2 linked regions of the Notamacropus eugenii genome follow. The protein of the gene in region 2 purifies or fractionates together with the protein of the main gene of each other region. This does not show direct contact. Links are inferred from orthologs where the notes say so. Each region holds a gene or a part of one and is shown on either strand. Other genes may lie near its edges.

Region 1 (8,108 bases), on a different chromosome or scaffold from region 2:
ACACAGCTTGTAAGCGTCTCCCGTCTTTCTGGCTCTAAGCCTAGAACTCCATTCACTACATGACCTAGCTGCATCATCCTTAAAATATTCTGCATCCTTTGAAGAGGAGTGGGAGTAAAAGAGATCATGAAAGAATTGTATAACCAAAAGAAAATTGGTCGTGTGGCAAGAAATAGCGGAACAGCCAAGGTGCTCCACTAATACCCTCTGCTTGTTCAAATGATCCCATTCCAGCCAACCTCTTCCAACAGTTTGCCCTCTCTGGTCCCCACTCTATCCCTTCTTCAACTTTTCCCAGTCTACTAGCTCCTTCGCTATTGCCTACAAACATGCCTAAGTCTTCCCATCTTAAAAAAACCCTCACTTGTCCTTCCATTTGAGCTATCATCCCTTATTTCTGCTGCCCTTTGTTGCCAGATTCCTCAAAAAGGCTGTCTATCATAGGTGTCTCCAATTTCTCTCCTCTCACCTTAGGAAGTGGCTTCTGATGTTATCATTCCATGGAAACTGCTCTCTCCAAAGTTATCAATGATCTCTTAGTTGTAAAATCCAGTGATCTTTTCTCCATCCTCATTCTCCTTGCCCTTTTGGTAACTTTTGACATTGTTGTTCATTGTCTTTCTTGATATTTTTTTCTGTATTTTTTGGGGGGTTACCACTCTCTTCAGGTTCTCTTACCTAACTGCTCCTCTATTCCTTTGCTGGATCCACAGTCAGATCATGCCCTCTCTAACTCTAGGTGTCCCTCAGGGTCCCTTTCTCTTCTCTGTCTATATTCACTTGTTATCTCATTAGCTCCCATGGATTTAATAACTATTCTCTATGCTGATGACTCTCAAATCCACCTTTCCTGCCCCCAACCTCGCATTTCTAACCATCTTTTAGAAATCCTTAATTGCATATCCAGTAGACATATTAAATTCAAATGTCTAAACTGAACTCATTCTTTCCCCCTAAATTCTCCCTCAACCTCCTACTTTCCCTGTTACTGTAGAGGGTAATAACATTCTTCCAGTTTCTCAGGCTCATGACTGAGGAGTCATCCTGAACTTCTCTTTGTCTCTCTCACATTTCCCCCAGCTCCTACATCCAAGCAACTGTCAAGCCCTTTGCAACATCTCTTCAACATGCCCCACTCTACTACAGACCCTTATCACCTCATTCCTCAATTACTGGAAGAGGCTGCTAAAGAGCATGACTCAAGTCTCTCCTCACTCCTCCATTCGGTCACTAAAGTGATCTTCCTAAAGCACAGGTTCAACCATGTCACCCCTTCTCAATAAACTCCACTGGCTTCCTATTGCCTCCAGGATCAAATACAAAATGCTCTATTTGCATTCAAAATCCTGCATAACCCAGCCCCTGCCTACATTTCCAGTTTTCTTACACCTTACTTTTCAGTACATGAACTTAGATCCAATGACACTGGCCTATGGGCTATTCAACTAATAACTGAATCTCTTTTCTTCATCTCTTGATTTTGGGCATTTTTTCTGGCTGTACCCCAAGCCTGGAACATTCTCCTTCATCATTCTTTCTGGGGACCTCCTTGGCTTCTCTTATAAGGCCCAACTAAAACCTTACCTTCTACAAGAAGACTTCCTCAACCCTTCTAAAATCTGGTGCCTTCTATCTCTTATTTCTTTATATTACATGTATACATGAATATGTGTGTATGTGTGTGTGTGTATAGTCTCCATTAAACTCTAAGTTCCTTGAGGGACTTTTGTCTCCTTTTCTACCCTCAGCACTTACCAGAGGCTAAGTAGTAGGTGTTTAATATCTGACTAGATGAGGAAACTGAGGCCTGGGGAGGCTAAGTAACATGTCCAAGGTCAGTATTCTTCTTTTGCTACCAACTTCAATGAGGTTAATTTTAATGAAGTTAAATTAATGAAGCTGAAATAGTAACAATTATAATACTTGCATCTCTATATTGCCTCACACTTTACCAAGTCCTTGCATATACTATCTGGTTTCTGGTCCCAGGTCCACTAACAAATTACCTGAGGCAGTCACTTCAGTGTTCTGGTCCTCGGTTGCCTAATCTGTAACTTGAGGAGGGTTAGGCTTCACCTTCTATTCCCAAATGGTTTAAAAATGCTGAGTGTGGGGCTCATTTGACCAAGGAAGGCTTGTCATGACTTCTCCAGAAATTTTTTAAAAATACGCAATCGAATGGCATTTTTCAGCATCTCGGCTTTCCCTGGCTTGCTCGTTGTTCCCTGAAGCCAACATTCCACCTCTTGCTTCACTGCTTTTCAGCAGGCTGTCCCCCAAGTTGGAATGCTCTCCCACCTCACCACTAACTTCTTGGAAGGCCCAACTCAAAGGCCTTCAAAAGGCTTATCGGGTTATTTATCCGGGCTAACCCCATTCCCTAAAGCCTGTTTCCTTGTGAGCAAGGTTAGCTAGCGCAGGGGCCGAAATCGTCTTTTTCCTTTGAATTTCTAAAATTTAGCTCCGCGGTTGGTACACAGTCGGTGACGAGTAAATGCTTATCGATTGATTTCCCTCTTTATCTTTGGGCAGGGAGGGTGATATACGGTGAGTAATACCTTAAGTGGAAAGTCCCTCAGCCTCTCTAGACAGCTTATGCCGGTCCTTTGTCACCTAAGGTGACCTTGATAACGAGATCTGAAGCCAGGGAAGGAATGTTAATGCTACAGTTGCTTTATCTTTGTGGGGTGGTGGCTTGGAGGGACAAGTGCAAGGAAAATATGACTATTATCCTGAACTGAGGTCACTGTCTCAACGTTCTAGGATGGTTTTCTAAAGGGAAACTGCCGTTTCGCTAGGTATGTTTAAAGACGGCTTTATATGGAAGGGGCGAAAAGGAAAAGGAAAATGTGAGGTTACTTGTGATCATGCCCTAGGTTTGGAATCCGGGCTCAGCCAGCTGGTGCAAGCTTTTCATTTTCCTGGGCCTGTTTCCTCATTTGTAAAATAAGGGGGGGGCTGTACTAGATGATCCCCAAGGCTTCCAGCTCGGAATCGCACGATCCCGCTCGTGGTGGTAAGGGACGGACCAGGAAAAGAGCGCTGCGGGCGCATCCTGGGCACAGCGGAGGGAGCGCCCGGCTGGCCCGGTGCCCGCGGACCCTGGGGCGAAGGGGAGAGGGAAGAGACGAGAACCAAGCGCTGCCACGTGGGGCCCTTCCGCTGGCCGGGGCTCGGGCTTCTTTGTTTGCACGCCGCCCTCCTCCAGGAAGCTCCCGAGTCCCCGGGAAGGAGCGCTCCAGGAGCTATTTCCGTGCCACCCCGGCTGCGGGGCGTGGGGGAGCCCGGAGGAGGAGGCGGGGAGGATGGCAGAGGCGCTCGGTCTGCTTCCACGTCCCCCAACGGAAGGCGCTATTTGTGGAGCCGAGCACACCCCGGAGGGAGGAGGAGCGGGGGAATCGCATCCACATCCACTCTCGTCTGCACAGGACTTCCCCGGAACGGCCGCGCGGGGGAGGCTGCAGGAATTCAGTCGTTCGCCAGCGCTCTCGCTCCCTCCTTCCCCCGGCGGCTCGAGCTGCGCGCAGGCCGGTTTGGGGGCTCTGTCCTCGGCTCTCCGGGGCCCGTCGGGGGCGGCTGCGTGGCGCAGCCGAGTCCGGGGCAAGGGCGAGGCCCCCCTCCGCGCCGCAGTCATCGGGCTGAGGCCCGCAAAGGCCGGGAGCGCGCTCCCTGGCACGCGCTCCCTTTCTTTCCCTCTCCCTCAGGACCCCTAGAACGCCGCTCACGCGCTGCCCTCCCCCCACCTTTCTCCTCCTCCTCCTCCGCAGCCCATTGTACTCCTGGAGCGGAGACGGTGAATCGCCGCGGAGTGAATGGGGGGAGCTGGAGCCAATGAGCGCCGGCCTCGTCTAAGCTCCGCCCCCAAGTCCCTCCTCCTCCCCGCTCCCAAGCCCAGCCCGACTTCGGTGCTCCTGGACTCTAACGTCACGGCAACTTTTAATCCTTCTCTTTCCCGGCCCGCGGGTTTGGCTCAGAGAGGCCGGGAGAGCGAGAGGGAGCGCGCGGGAGCTTCCTCTCCTGCTGCTTCCTTCTCTCCGCTCCACTTTCTTTCTCGGCACTGCTCGGTGCGTGCGTGGGGCACGGCTCTCTGGCCCCAGCCTCGTCCCCTGCGCCCGTCTGCCTCGACGCTGCCCTTCCCCCCGGACCCCTCCTCCTGCTCCCCCGGGCCGGCCCTCCCTCCCCGCGCTGCTCCCTAGCGGGCCGGCTGGTGGGCCGAGGAGCTGGAGCCGTAGCACCTCATTGCACAACCCGGCTTCCCAACTGTTTACATATAATCGGACTGTGTGTATACAGCGTGAGTCACCGCCGGCGGAGGAGGGGGAGGAGGAGGAGGAGGGCCCAGCCTGGGATCGGCGCGCCGCTCACGCCCGCTCACACTCACTCACTCTCGCTCAGCCAGCGCGGAGGCTCCGGAGCGCGGAGGGGGACCGGCGCCGCCAAAAGTTGCCAAGGTGCCTTTGCCCGGGGACTCGGGCTTCGCGTCTCCGCGTTCCTCCGTCGGCCGTGCCTGCGGCTGCCGAAGCTTCTCTCCTAGTCCGGAGCCGGAGCGGGGGGCGCGCTCCGCGCAGACCTCCCTCTGCCCGGATCGTCTCTGCAGCGGCGGCGGCAAGAAGCCATCCGAGCCCGCCCGCGGTGCCCACCGCCAGCCGGGACTCCCGGGACACCCCTGGCCCGAGCCGCCCCCTCGGGGTGCGGGCGAAGACAGAGCTGGCCCCCGGGCTGGCCAGCCCCGGCCCCGGCCGCGTCGTGGGCTCCCTAGAGCGGTTCCGGCCCGCTTTGCCCCCCGTGGGGGTGAAAGCCCGAAGACCTCGAGAGACGCCCCGGGCTCCGCTGCAGCCGTCGGATCTCCGGACCTTGGGGCCCCGCTCCCAAGCCCTTCCCGGAATCCGGGCTTTAACCGCCCCGCTCCACGGGCTCCGGGACCTGGATGTGTTCCCTGCGCCCTGCCATGAGCCGCAACGTCCAGCCCCGAAGCCCGGGCCTGCTGCTCCCCGCTGCCCGGGGCTCCCCTTCCAAGCGCCTCCTGGACGGCGACGAGGCAGCCGCGGTGGCGGCCAAGTGCTTGCGGCTGTCCGAGTGCCCGAACCCTCCGGACTACCTCAGCCCCCCCAGCTCCCCCTGCACGCCCCCGCCCGCTCCCTCGCCCTCGGCGCCCGGCGGCAGCGCCCCGGGGCCCAGCCGGATCGCCGGCTACCTTCTGCTGCCCATGGCCGAGCGGGAGCATGTGTCCCGGGCGCTGAGCATCCACACCGGGCAGGAGTTACGCTGCAAGGTACGGCCGCCCCCCGGCGACCACCCCCGCCCGGAGGCCGGGGGACGCCGCGTGGGAGAGGGGAGGGTGGACAAAGGTCTGGCGGGATCTTCGGTCGGAAGGGACCTTAGCCATTGATTCATTCAGCCCTCTTCCCGAGTCACAGGCTCGTGGAGGGCGCAGTCACGGTCAAGGCTCCTCAGGGAACGAACTGGGGAGAGCAGGCGGGGGGCTTCCACGGGGAGGAGGCAAAGCTTTCCGTGGGGATCTCAGGTGACCCGAGCGAACTTGGAGTGGGGGAGGCATCATTTCCCAACCACTTTTCTTCCATTTAACAGCTGTCCTCTTTGAGCAGTCTTTACCTTCTTCATCCCAGGAAAGTAATTCATCCAGCCCCTCACCCTTCACTATCAGCCCCATTGGGTGGAGGTACCTCCTTGGAGGCTGGCACGGCTGCCAGCTCGGAGCCTGCTGGCGTTTTGGAAGGGCTAGGACTTTTCAACGGGCACCCAGTAATAAGCCTCCGGGGGAGAGAGGGTGGGTCCCAAGACCTCTAAGATCCCGATCCTGGGATTCTGTGACTCCCCACCAAGGGCCTGAAACAGAGAGATTCCAACCAGTATCCTTAGAATTGACACTCCCTGATAGAAAAGTGAGGAGCCCGGCCCCGCTGGAACACTCATTCACTTCCTTTTAATTGGTGACATGGATTTTCATTTTAACATCGAGAATATAAATTCCCAGAAACAGGATCCGCAGTTTCCTTCTGTAGCGCACCCATCCTCTAGACAATTCCAACAAATCCAAAGCCACCCAGAGAATCCCACAAATGCACAGTCTCCTCGCCCCTTTGCCTGCTTCCTCTTCACCTGAACTGAGGGTTCAGCAGTTGGGTCAGCTTGATTTTTTCTCCTGCTCACCTGACTCCATCTGAATGGAGTTTTTGTCATTGAGTTTGGCTACCGCCACCTGCTGTCTGACTTCAGGGGCATTTTAAATGTTTTCAAAAGCTGCATTTAGGGAATGAAAAAGGAAAAAAAATCTTAAGTGACCAGTCTAAAAGGGCACTTTGGTAGAAATGTCTATGGATAGTGGTAATGGGGGGCTAGGGGTGAGGAGGAGGAGGTTGGGGAGTTGCAGAAGGGTTTTCCTTGCTAGCCATCTATCAGACTGGCACAAGAGATGGGGTGGGACCTGAGGATTGTGTAATCCTATCCAGTTCCTCCCAACAGATAATAGCTGGATCCAGATGGTGACGGTCCATGTGTCACCGTTTCCAGTTGAGTCTAGGATATGAGTAACCCTGGCAAAAACAAAAGGCCTTTAAAAGAGCACAATTGGTTTCTTAGAGAAGTTACCCATTCCCTGGGAAGGGAAAAAAAATCAGTAGATTTAAAACTCCTCCTTTGAAAGCATTTACTCTGAGCTTTTGAGAAACAGATGAATGATGGTTATACCTGAGTCACCCTTCAGCTTGCTTAAAGTGCCCAGAGCTGTGTCATAGACTGATTTATATTTTTTCTCCATCTGTCTTTGTCTCTTCCTTTGTCTCCGTCTCTCTTTGTATCACTTTGTCTTTGTTTCTGCCTCTCCGTCTCTCTCCCAATCATCTTTCTCCTTCCCTCCAAATCACGTTCTGCTGTTTTTCCTTACCTACCTTTCCTTACTGCCTGGATCTTGCAGAGTCCCCATATTCTTTGTACTTTGTATGAGCACCCTTCCTCTCTAGATTGCTAAGTAATTGACAGCAACAGTTTTTAAGCCGTTATGGAATAAAGCCAGGATTTCCTGATGCTGAGCTGGGCAAAAGAGACAAGGAGTGGACCCAGTCTCTAATCAGTCGTCGGTGAACACTGAAAGCATCCACTGTGTTCAGAACACTATGGGGGGATAGAGAGGGATTGAATACTGGATATGCTTGCCTAGCTGGATCTGATTGTTTGGGGAAATGGGGCACACTAAGAGGAGTCCTCTCAAGTAGGTAGGACTGGTGGATGGCTGCACTTGGAGCTTAACCAATTCTCTGGATACTTAGTAGGTATTACTGGTTTAAAGTATTGGCAGAGGCAGTGTGAAAGTGGGAGGAAGGATGTGACCCAAGGAATAAGAGTTTAACACAGCTTCAGGAATAGATAGGCACAACTCTGGATATCATCCATGTGGAAGTTAAACATTCAAGTTCAGCTTGAATGCTGAGAAGCAGCCTCTCTACTTTTTATCATAGAATTTAAAGGTGGACAGGATTTAGAGGTCATCTGGCCCAACCTCCTCATTTTACAGGTGAAGTCATTGCAATTGAGAGAAATTAGGTGATTTGCCTAAAGGTTACATAATCTGCAGAACTAGAAATCTAACCCAGGTCATTCAAATCATTCAATTCCAGTTCCAAGGATATTTTCAACTCTTACCATATTGCCTCTTGAGGGGGTGTGTGTGGGTATATGTGGTGTGTGGGTGTGTGTAACATTACCTAGTCCAGCCCCCCCCCCCTTATTTTTTTAAATCTGTGGCTGAGGGACAGAGAGGTGAAGTTAACTACACTTGCTCACATAGCCAGTAAATTACAGACCTGGGATTTGAACTCAGGTCCTTTGATTCCAGTTTCAGCCCTTATTTCCCCTACAGGAAGCTTATTGCCCATTTTTTTTCCTCCAGGTGTTCCCTATTAAACACTACCAAGACAAAATCCGGCCTTATATCCAGCTGCCATCTCACAGAAATATCACAGGAATTGTTGAAGTGATTCTTGGGGCCACCAAAGCATATGTATTTTTTGAAAAGGACTTTGGGGACATGCACTCCTATGTGAGAAATCGGAAAAGGCTTCGGGAAGAGGAGGCTGCCCGGCTCTTCAAGC
Region 2 (7,734 bases):
TTTGGAAAGCCATGTGTGTGGTTTGTCCTTCATTCTCAAAAAGGACCAGTGATATCAGAAAGATGATGCCATGATTCACAAGTGAATTGGGTTACAGTGAGAGAGGGCTGTGCAGCGTCACCAGCCTCACCTTCTCCTCCAGAGCCATTGGGGCCCAGTGGCCAGATATAGAGCAAGACAACTGGAGATGGCCCAAATTTGAAAAGTAGTCAGGGAGAATAGCGAAACTCACCTTGGACACAAGGATGGCTGTAGGGAAAAGAGCATGGCCATCCAGGACAGCGTTTGTTTCTTTCCGTGTAAAGCTCAGGTGAGAAACAACATGGACTAGTGGAGGGATGGCCCTCCTTGGATTTAAGACCTAAGCTCAAGTCCTATTTCTGATGCACACTAACTGCCACCATGGGCAGATCACTCAACCTGTCAGTGGTTTAACCAATTCTCTAAGACTTGTCAGTTACCCTGAAATTGCCTCTGTGGAAGTACTTTCCATATCTAAGATTCCCAGCGATGATGTGGACTCCCCTCTCCTCACACAGGGTTAATATCTGCATTACCGACTTTGCACTTCTGTTGTGGGGAAAGCAATTTGCATATCTTAAATGAGTATGGAAATGTGAGATTATTATTAACAGTGTATAAATCACTGGATTAACCTAGAAGACAGGTTGGTGAGAAATTAATATAGAATTGAGTTAAGTAGCAGGCTAAAGGGTGACCAGCCCATATAGGCTACAAATGAGTGTGCCTACCCCACCACCACCAAATTTCTGTTACAACAGTTTAATAACAATAGTCATCAGCGTTTAATATAGTGTCATGAGGTTTGTGTGTATTATCTCATTTAATACTATATGCCAAGCTTTTTAGCATTGAGGAATAGGCTGCTGGACACAAAATGAAGGGTCTGGAGTTTCATTCTGTTTCCTTTTCTGTAGAGGAAAGTAATGGAAAGGGAAGAGAGTTAAAGAGAGTAAGGAGAGCTTAGTCCCGATTTTGCCTTGGCATATCCAGATGGAACTGCAATCCCCTGATTATGTCCCAACTGTTTTACTACGCCCTCAGCTTGAGGGACAAAGAGAGAGGCCTGCTCTCTCCCTTCTACTTCATCAGAGAAATAGATGTAACCACTGGTTACAAGCACCTGGTGAATGGAAACCACCCAACCTGCCTATTGCTCATCTTACCCTAGTTGAACTAAAATTTAGAGATCATTGTTTCCCCTCAGGGAAGAAGAATGAAGGTGTGGTAGTTAGCTATGGGTTCAGATCTCAGTTTGACCTGGGTACAGGACTGAAATCATCCACCTCTGCCTTTTTTTTTTCTTCCTAATGGAATGAGCAAGTGACCAATCGATTCTGAAAGACAGGAAGAGGCCTCAAGAGAACAACTAGCCCAAGTATAGGAAACTAAAGTCCAGGGAAGTGTCATGTCCAAGATCAGAGCTGGGGCTGCATGACAGACTTATAGGATCCAGAGCCAGAGTGAACCTCAGCAGTACCTAGTCTAACTCCCTTATTTTACAGATGAGCAAACTGACCAACAAGGGTAAGTGACTCACCTAAAATCATGCTGGTGGTGGCAGGTAGGGTTTGAGTTCAGATCCGCTGACTCCAGGCCTATATCTACTGATTCCCAAGCCAGAGGTCTACTTCCATCACATTAATGACAAGGATGAAGAGAGGAGGCCAGATAAACAAACCTGTGTTGGAAACTCATCTGGTCCTATAGCAGCCTCCCCCTAGGAGCCATGGCAGAGAAATGACTCCCACCATAGGGCATTGCCATATATCCCTTGCCCCCAGCCCATCAACCCACCCCGTGCTGGGGAAGCCCCCACCTAGGCTGGTGTCAGAGGAAGGGTAGAGTTGAGAGCCTGAAGGGACAGGAGGTGAGTGAGCATGCCTGTTCCCTCCTCCCCTTCTCTTCTGTGACAGTCACCAGCTGCTTTGGGAGCCTGTGCATCGTCAGCCAGCCATCTCAAGCTGTTGTGACAGGCGTCATTTTGTTATGGCAGTGCTGTCTGCATCCCCAGAGCAGAAGATGGAGTGTAGAGTGTGTGTGTGTGTGTGTGTGTGTGTGTGTGTGTGTTGCCACACACCAATCTCCCCACATCTATGTCCTGCTGACAGCTCCCCGGCTGGCACCTTTGGGTTGAGTTGGGTTTTTCTCATAGCTTGTAGTCATGTGTCCTCTTTCTCTTTCTCTGCCCCCTTAAAGTCCCATATTTTTAATCAGCTGTGGAAGGGGGATGGGAGGCAGAGTGTAGAGGGGAGGGGAGAGGAGAGTGCCAATGTCAAAGGAAAGAAGATAATGAGTTCCTTGGAAAATCCAAACTCATACTGTTTTAGGAGACATTCCAGGGACTTTCCAGTATCCCAGCCACATCCTGTCCCATCCCCTGAAAAGGGAAAGTAGCATCTCAAGGCAAGGCCATCTAGGCATCCCTTATTCAACCTCTCCTAGCCACTCAGCCAAATCCCTTGGTATTCTAAATCAGGAGGGCAGATCTAGAAGCAGAGAAGCAAATTAATACTCAGCTTGCGTGACAATTCCAGCTTGCTCAAAGGGGAATGGGGCTGCCTTCAGAGAGAGTGAGTTTCCCATCACTGAGGTCTTGAAGCACAGGATTGATGGCCACTTATTAGAGTACAATGTAGCAGGGATTCCTGCCTAGGTGCAGGTTGGACTAGACCAGGACTTCTTAACTTTAGATTGTGCCTCTGGGTCCCTTCTCAGGAGAATGGTTTTAAATGCACAGGAGGAAACCAAAGGTTAATAAAATTAGGATGTAATTTCCCAGTCTAGTTGTTGTTGTCCAGTTTTATCTGACTATGACCCTAATTTGGGATTTTCTTGGCAAAGATACTGGAGTGGTTGGCCATTTCCTTCTCCAGCTCATTTTATAGATGAGGAAACTAAGGCAAATAGCGTTAAGTGACTTGCCCAGGGACTTAGAGCTAGTGTCTGAGGCCAGGTTTGGACTTAGGAAGATGAGTCATCCTGACTCCAGCCAGGCCCAGCACTCTATCCACTGTACCTTTAGCTGCCCTGTCCAAATTCATAGACCCCATGAAGTTAGTGAGTCTATTGACCCCAGATTAAAAACCCCTGAACTAAATGGTTTCTGAGGTCCCTTCTAGCTCTGAGATTCTGTGAAAGATTTTATCTAGCAGGTTTGCTGAAGGACAAACCTATAATCTCCACAAACCCTTTCCTTCTTTGAAACGTTAACCCCAAAGCTATGTATTTGGTTACAACATCTGAGGCTTGTAAGTGTGAACACCTTTACATGGCCAAAAAGCAAGAACAGGAGAACACTGCCCTGAATCCTCCTGCTAAGAAATGGGATTTCTTAGCCAGGTTGATGTCATATTATAGCAGTACTGTGAATGGGGACTGGGAGGAATGAGGGGACCAGTCCCTTGAAAATGTAGTAGGGAAGAGGATCAAATCACACACATACACAAATACACACATGGACTCATGCCTACTTCAGGAAAGAGAAGGAAATCTTGTCTTTAGGACATTCTCCCAGGAGCCAGAGCTGCTTTCCTTTGGGTCTTCATGACACCCTACGCTAACTTCTTACCCCCTAGCTGCTGGTGAGGATTGGGATGAATAGCAACAAAAGAAAAGATAAGGGGTGAGACTATTGAGGAGGCAGGATGGTGCAGTGGAGAGAGCGCTGTGTTTAGGGTTACAGAATCTCGGAAGGGGCCTTAGAGACCATGCAACCCAGACCTGACCAAGTTGCTTAGAGGACCTAGGCTCTAGACCTAGCTCTGCCACTCTGGCCTCAGGCAGGCCCCTTCCTTTCCCCTCTCTTGGGCTTAATCTTCCCATTTGTAAAATGGATTAGATGACCTCTAAGTTCCAAACCCCATGAATTGTCCAGCAGCAGGACTTAGCGTTGTCCATCAGCTGAGTGGGAGACTGGATCCCACAAAAGATTTATAACCACAGAGGTTGCTCAGCCACACAAATACCCATGCCCACAGGCATCCAGAAACTGGCATACAGAGGGACAGATTTGATCCACGTGGCTACACAAACATCAGACAAGGAGACAGTGAAAACCTAACACACTCAGGGAGAGACATGGAAATACCCCTACAGAAAGATTGAAAGGGAGACACACACATAATCCATATGCCAGCACTCTTAGCTTCCCACTTCTCCCCTGGAGGCGACAGCCCTCTGGGCTTTCCCTGGAGGAGGGATAAGGTGGGGAAGGCAGATTGGTTGTGGCCAGGCGAGGCGGCTCAGCTTCTCTGTTTGGCAGATCCTTAGCTCTGGGAGGTACAACAAAGCCCAGAGAGGGCCATGAGTCACCTAGCATGATGCAATCTCTTTAAAGGCCCCATCTGCTGCTGCTGCAAGAAGCTGATTCATGACGGGTGTGGTTGCTGACACAAGAAGGGAAATAGGCTGCCGAAACTGCAGCAGGAGGGACTGAGGTTAGACAGCTCAGAGCCATGAGACATGGGAACAGGTGACTGAGAGGATCCTGCCTATGGAGTCAGTAGAAACAGGTGAAATTTGTCAGAGCTGGGGGAGAGGGAGGGAAGAAGACTGTCTGGTCTTGTCCCTAGAGACCTGAGGCTTCTTAGTAGAACCTGTCAGCTTCAGCTTAGTCTGCGATTCTGTAGAGCAGGGGTTCTTAACCTAGGGTCCATAAACTTGGCTTCTTTTTTTTTTTTTTTAATATTTTGATAACTTTCAGTGTAATTGGCTTGCTTTGTCACCCTGTGTATTTTATTTCATGCATTTAAAAATATTCTGCCAGATGGGGTCAGATCATGTCAACGAGCATTTATTAGGAGGTGCCTACCATGTGCTAGGCCCTGTACTGAGGGTACAAAGAAAGGCAAAAGAGAACTCCTGCCTTCAAGGAGCTCAGTCTAATGGACTAATGCATCTAATGATGTCTAATGGGTCCATGACACCAAAAAGTTAATAACCCCTGCTGTAGAGGAAATATGGGGAAGGATAAATCAATCTACGAATGAGGATTTATTAGGCAACTGTTCTATTAACCAGGCACTGGGCTAGGCACTGGAGATACAGGTACAAAGAATGAAACAATAACCAAACAAGCTTTCTATTCTAATGGGAGAGTAAACAAAGGCATACACAAATATATGCAGCAAAAATGTAGAGTCAACACTTACAAATATACTGCATATGTGTACATACATATGTGTGTATTATATATGTGTATGTATGTATGTATATATTATATATAATAACATATTTTTTTAGAGTTGGAAGAGGCTTTAGAGACCATAGGATTACAGATTTACAGATGACAGATTATCTAAGGGATCATAGAGGTCATCTACCTTTAAGAGAGGTTTCTCATTTTACCGAAGACGAATAGACCCAGAGAAGGGACTCCAGAGCTCACAACTGGTGAGCAGCAGAGCCGAAATCTGAACTCAGGGCCTCTGATCCTACATCCTCCAGCTTTCCCACTGTAGTACACTTGGTAGCCAAGGGAATAAATGGGATGGAAGGATGTGGCCCAGTGGGCCAGAAGTAGGAATGAATGGATGAATGAGCATTAATTACTATGTTCCAGGCAAACAAACTGAAAAAGGAAGATAGTCTAGGCCCTCAAGGAGCTTCTACTCTAATAGGGGAAGAGAGGCCAGGTGGGAATGGTGACCCCATTATGATTAGGGGTGTCACAAGAGGGCTGTGAGGCAGTGTGACATTCTGATGGCTTGAACCACGAAAGCTGGGCTGCTTAATCATGTCAACAAGTCTTCAAGCATTTATTAAGCTCCTGCTGTGTGCCTGTACTGCTAAGCGCTAGGGAAAACAAAAAAAGCAAACCGTCCTGCTCCCAAGGAGATCACCCTCTAAATACCTGCACAATCTACCTGCGGGCCAGGGCTTTGTGTCTGGAAGTGTGGGGCTGTCCTGTCCAGGAATCTTAGAGCCCTAGGCCTGGAGTCAAATCTGGCCTCTTAGACATGTTAGTTGTGCAACCTGAGCAAGTCACTTACCCTTTGCTTGACTCAGTTTCCTCATCTGTAACATGGGGATAATAATAACAGCCCCTACCTCCCAGGGTTGTTTACAGTGAGATAACAGCTGTAAAGCGCTTGGCACAGTGCTTGGCACACAGTGAATATATATAAATATCAGTTATTATTATTATGGGGACTATAAACACATGGCTTCAGAAAACTCATTTCCAGAGGATAACTGGGGCTCTGGGTGTCGCGTCGCTTTTCTGAAAAGTACGGTATTCCCCGTGGTCGACCCCCTCTAGCCCGGCAGCCCTGAGTAACTGTCAAACCGTCAGAGCGGATTTCCGAAGGGGGCGGGAGGTGGGTGCGACTGGGTGATTCAGGGCTCTGTAGGATTCCGGCGGGGGTGGTGTGAAGGGCGGGGCTAAGCCGTCACCGTCTCCGTGGCCTCACCCCCGAAGGAGCTAGAGCGGCTGGGCCCGCCCCCTTCCTTAACCAGCCACCAATCACCCCTCTCCTTTCGGCCCCGCCCCCACCAAGAGCCAGTCTCCGTCAGGGTCCGGCCCCTCAGATCTGAAGTCGAACAACTTCCGCCCTGCACCAATATGGCCGCTCTCCAAAGGCCAATCAGCGGCGCGAGGGGCTTTAGACCGGGGTCCGGATAGGGAGCCAGCCGGCCGTCGGCCGTCCCCACTCCCTTCCCTGGAAGAGAAAGGCGGAGCTCCGAGCCGGGGGGGAGGGGGGGAGGAGGGGCTGGGTCGTGGGGGTGGCGGTGCGTCATTTCCGTTGTCAGGTGGCGGCGCCGCAGCCATGGAGGGAGGCGGCGGCTCGGGCGGCGGCGGCGGCGGCTGCGGCGGCGGCTCGGGCGGCTGCGCTGGGCGGCGGCGGTAGAGCGGCTCTCCCGCCCCCGGCCCCCCGGCCTCCCGCCCCCCCGGGACGGAGCGCCGAGCAGCCCCCGGCTCCGGGACGCGGACTATGGGCGAGGAGCGCTGAGCGCCGGGGGAAGGTGAGCGGAGCGGTGGGGGGGGGAATCGAAGTGGGGTCTGCAGCGAGGGGGACTCAGCCTGAAGGGGGCCCTGAGGGGGGTCTTCTCGGGGGAGGGGGGAGTCCTCCTAGAAGGGGGCGGGGGAGGACCTGCCGGGGGCGGGGTGGGGGAGGGGGCTGCCCTGGGAGTGGAAGGGGGGGCTACCTAAGACCCCGTGTTTAGGGCCAGTGCTGGTTGTTTCACCGGAAGGCTCTCGAGGTAGGGGCTGCTTTCTTGTCTTTAGCTCCCTGAGCCTAGCCCGGTGCCCGGCACCTAGTAGAAGCTCCATAAATGCGTTTGATTGATTGATTGATTGACTTGGTTGGTTGGGGCGAGGGGCAGCCTGGAGGTCTAGACTCCGTAGAAGAGGAGAGCCGGTAGAGAAAAGGGATGGACAGAGAGAAGGATGGGAACATGCTGGAGAGGAGGTGGGGCTGCGATGGCCAGGTTACCTGGGCTAGAGAGGTGGGGGTGGGGAGTGAATCCGGGAGGAGTGATTAATTAGAATGGACCGAGGTGGTGGGTTGGTTCGGGATTGCCGAGGGGCCCTGGGGAGCTCAGAGGTGGTGACCGTGCTGTGCCCTCGGCCCCCCGGGGCTGTGCCTTGCAGCCCCCTCAGCTTCTCGAGGACCGAGTGCAGAAGTGACACGACATTCCCTCGGGTTCCGCAGGTGATAGAGGAGCCGGCCGGATGGTGGCCCAGGGTGCTCTTCTGATCACGAGAGCCTA

What was found. Proteins that work in one complex are often made in the same cells at the same time.
Region 1: the proteins of STK40 (region 2) and TRIB1 purify together in Homo sapiens (affinity purification with mass spectrometry; 3 studies listed by BioGRID and IntAct, counting the BioPlex papers as one, with this or other methods). This does not show direct contact. The link is inferred for Notamacropus eugenii from reciprocal best matches to the Homo sapiens genes STK40 and TRIB1.

The regions. Positions count from the first base shown.
Region 1 is NC_092875.1:118,540,011-118,548,118, reverse strand, and holds the start of TRIB1 (tribbles homolog 1), read left to right. Parts: upstream 1-4,780; 5' UTR 4,781-4,927; coding exon 4,928-5,272; intron 5,273-7,906; coding exon 7,907-8,108. UniProt on the Homo sapiens protein: Adapter protein involved in protein degradation by interacting with COP1 ubiquitin ligase. The COP1-binding motif is masked by autoinhibitory interactions with the protein kinase domain.
Region 2 is NC_092876.1:83,285,183-83,292,916, forward strand, and holds the start of STK40 (serine/threonine-protein kinase 40), read left to right. Parts: upstream 1-4,510; 5' UTR 4,511-4,516; coding exon 4,517-4,535; intron 4,536-6,831; exon of another isoform or gene 6,832-6,987; intron 6,988-7,734. UniProt on the Homo sapiens protein: May be a negative regulator of NF-kappa-B and p53-mediated gene transcription.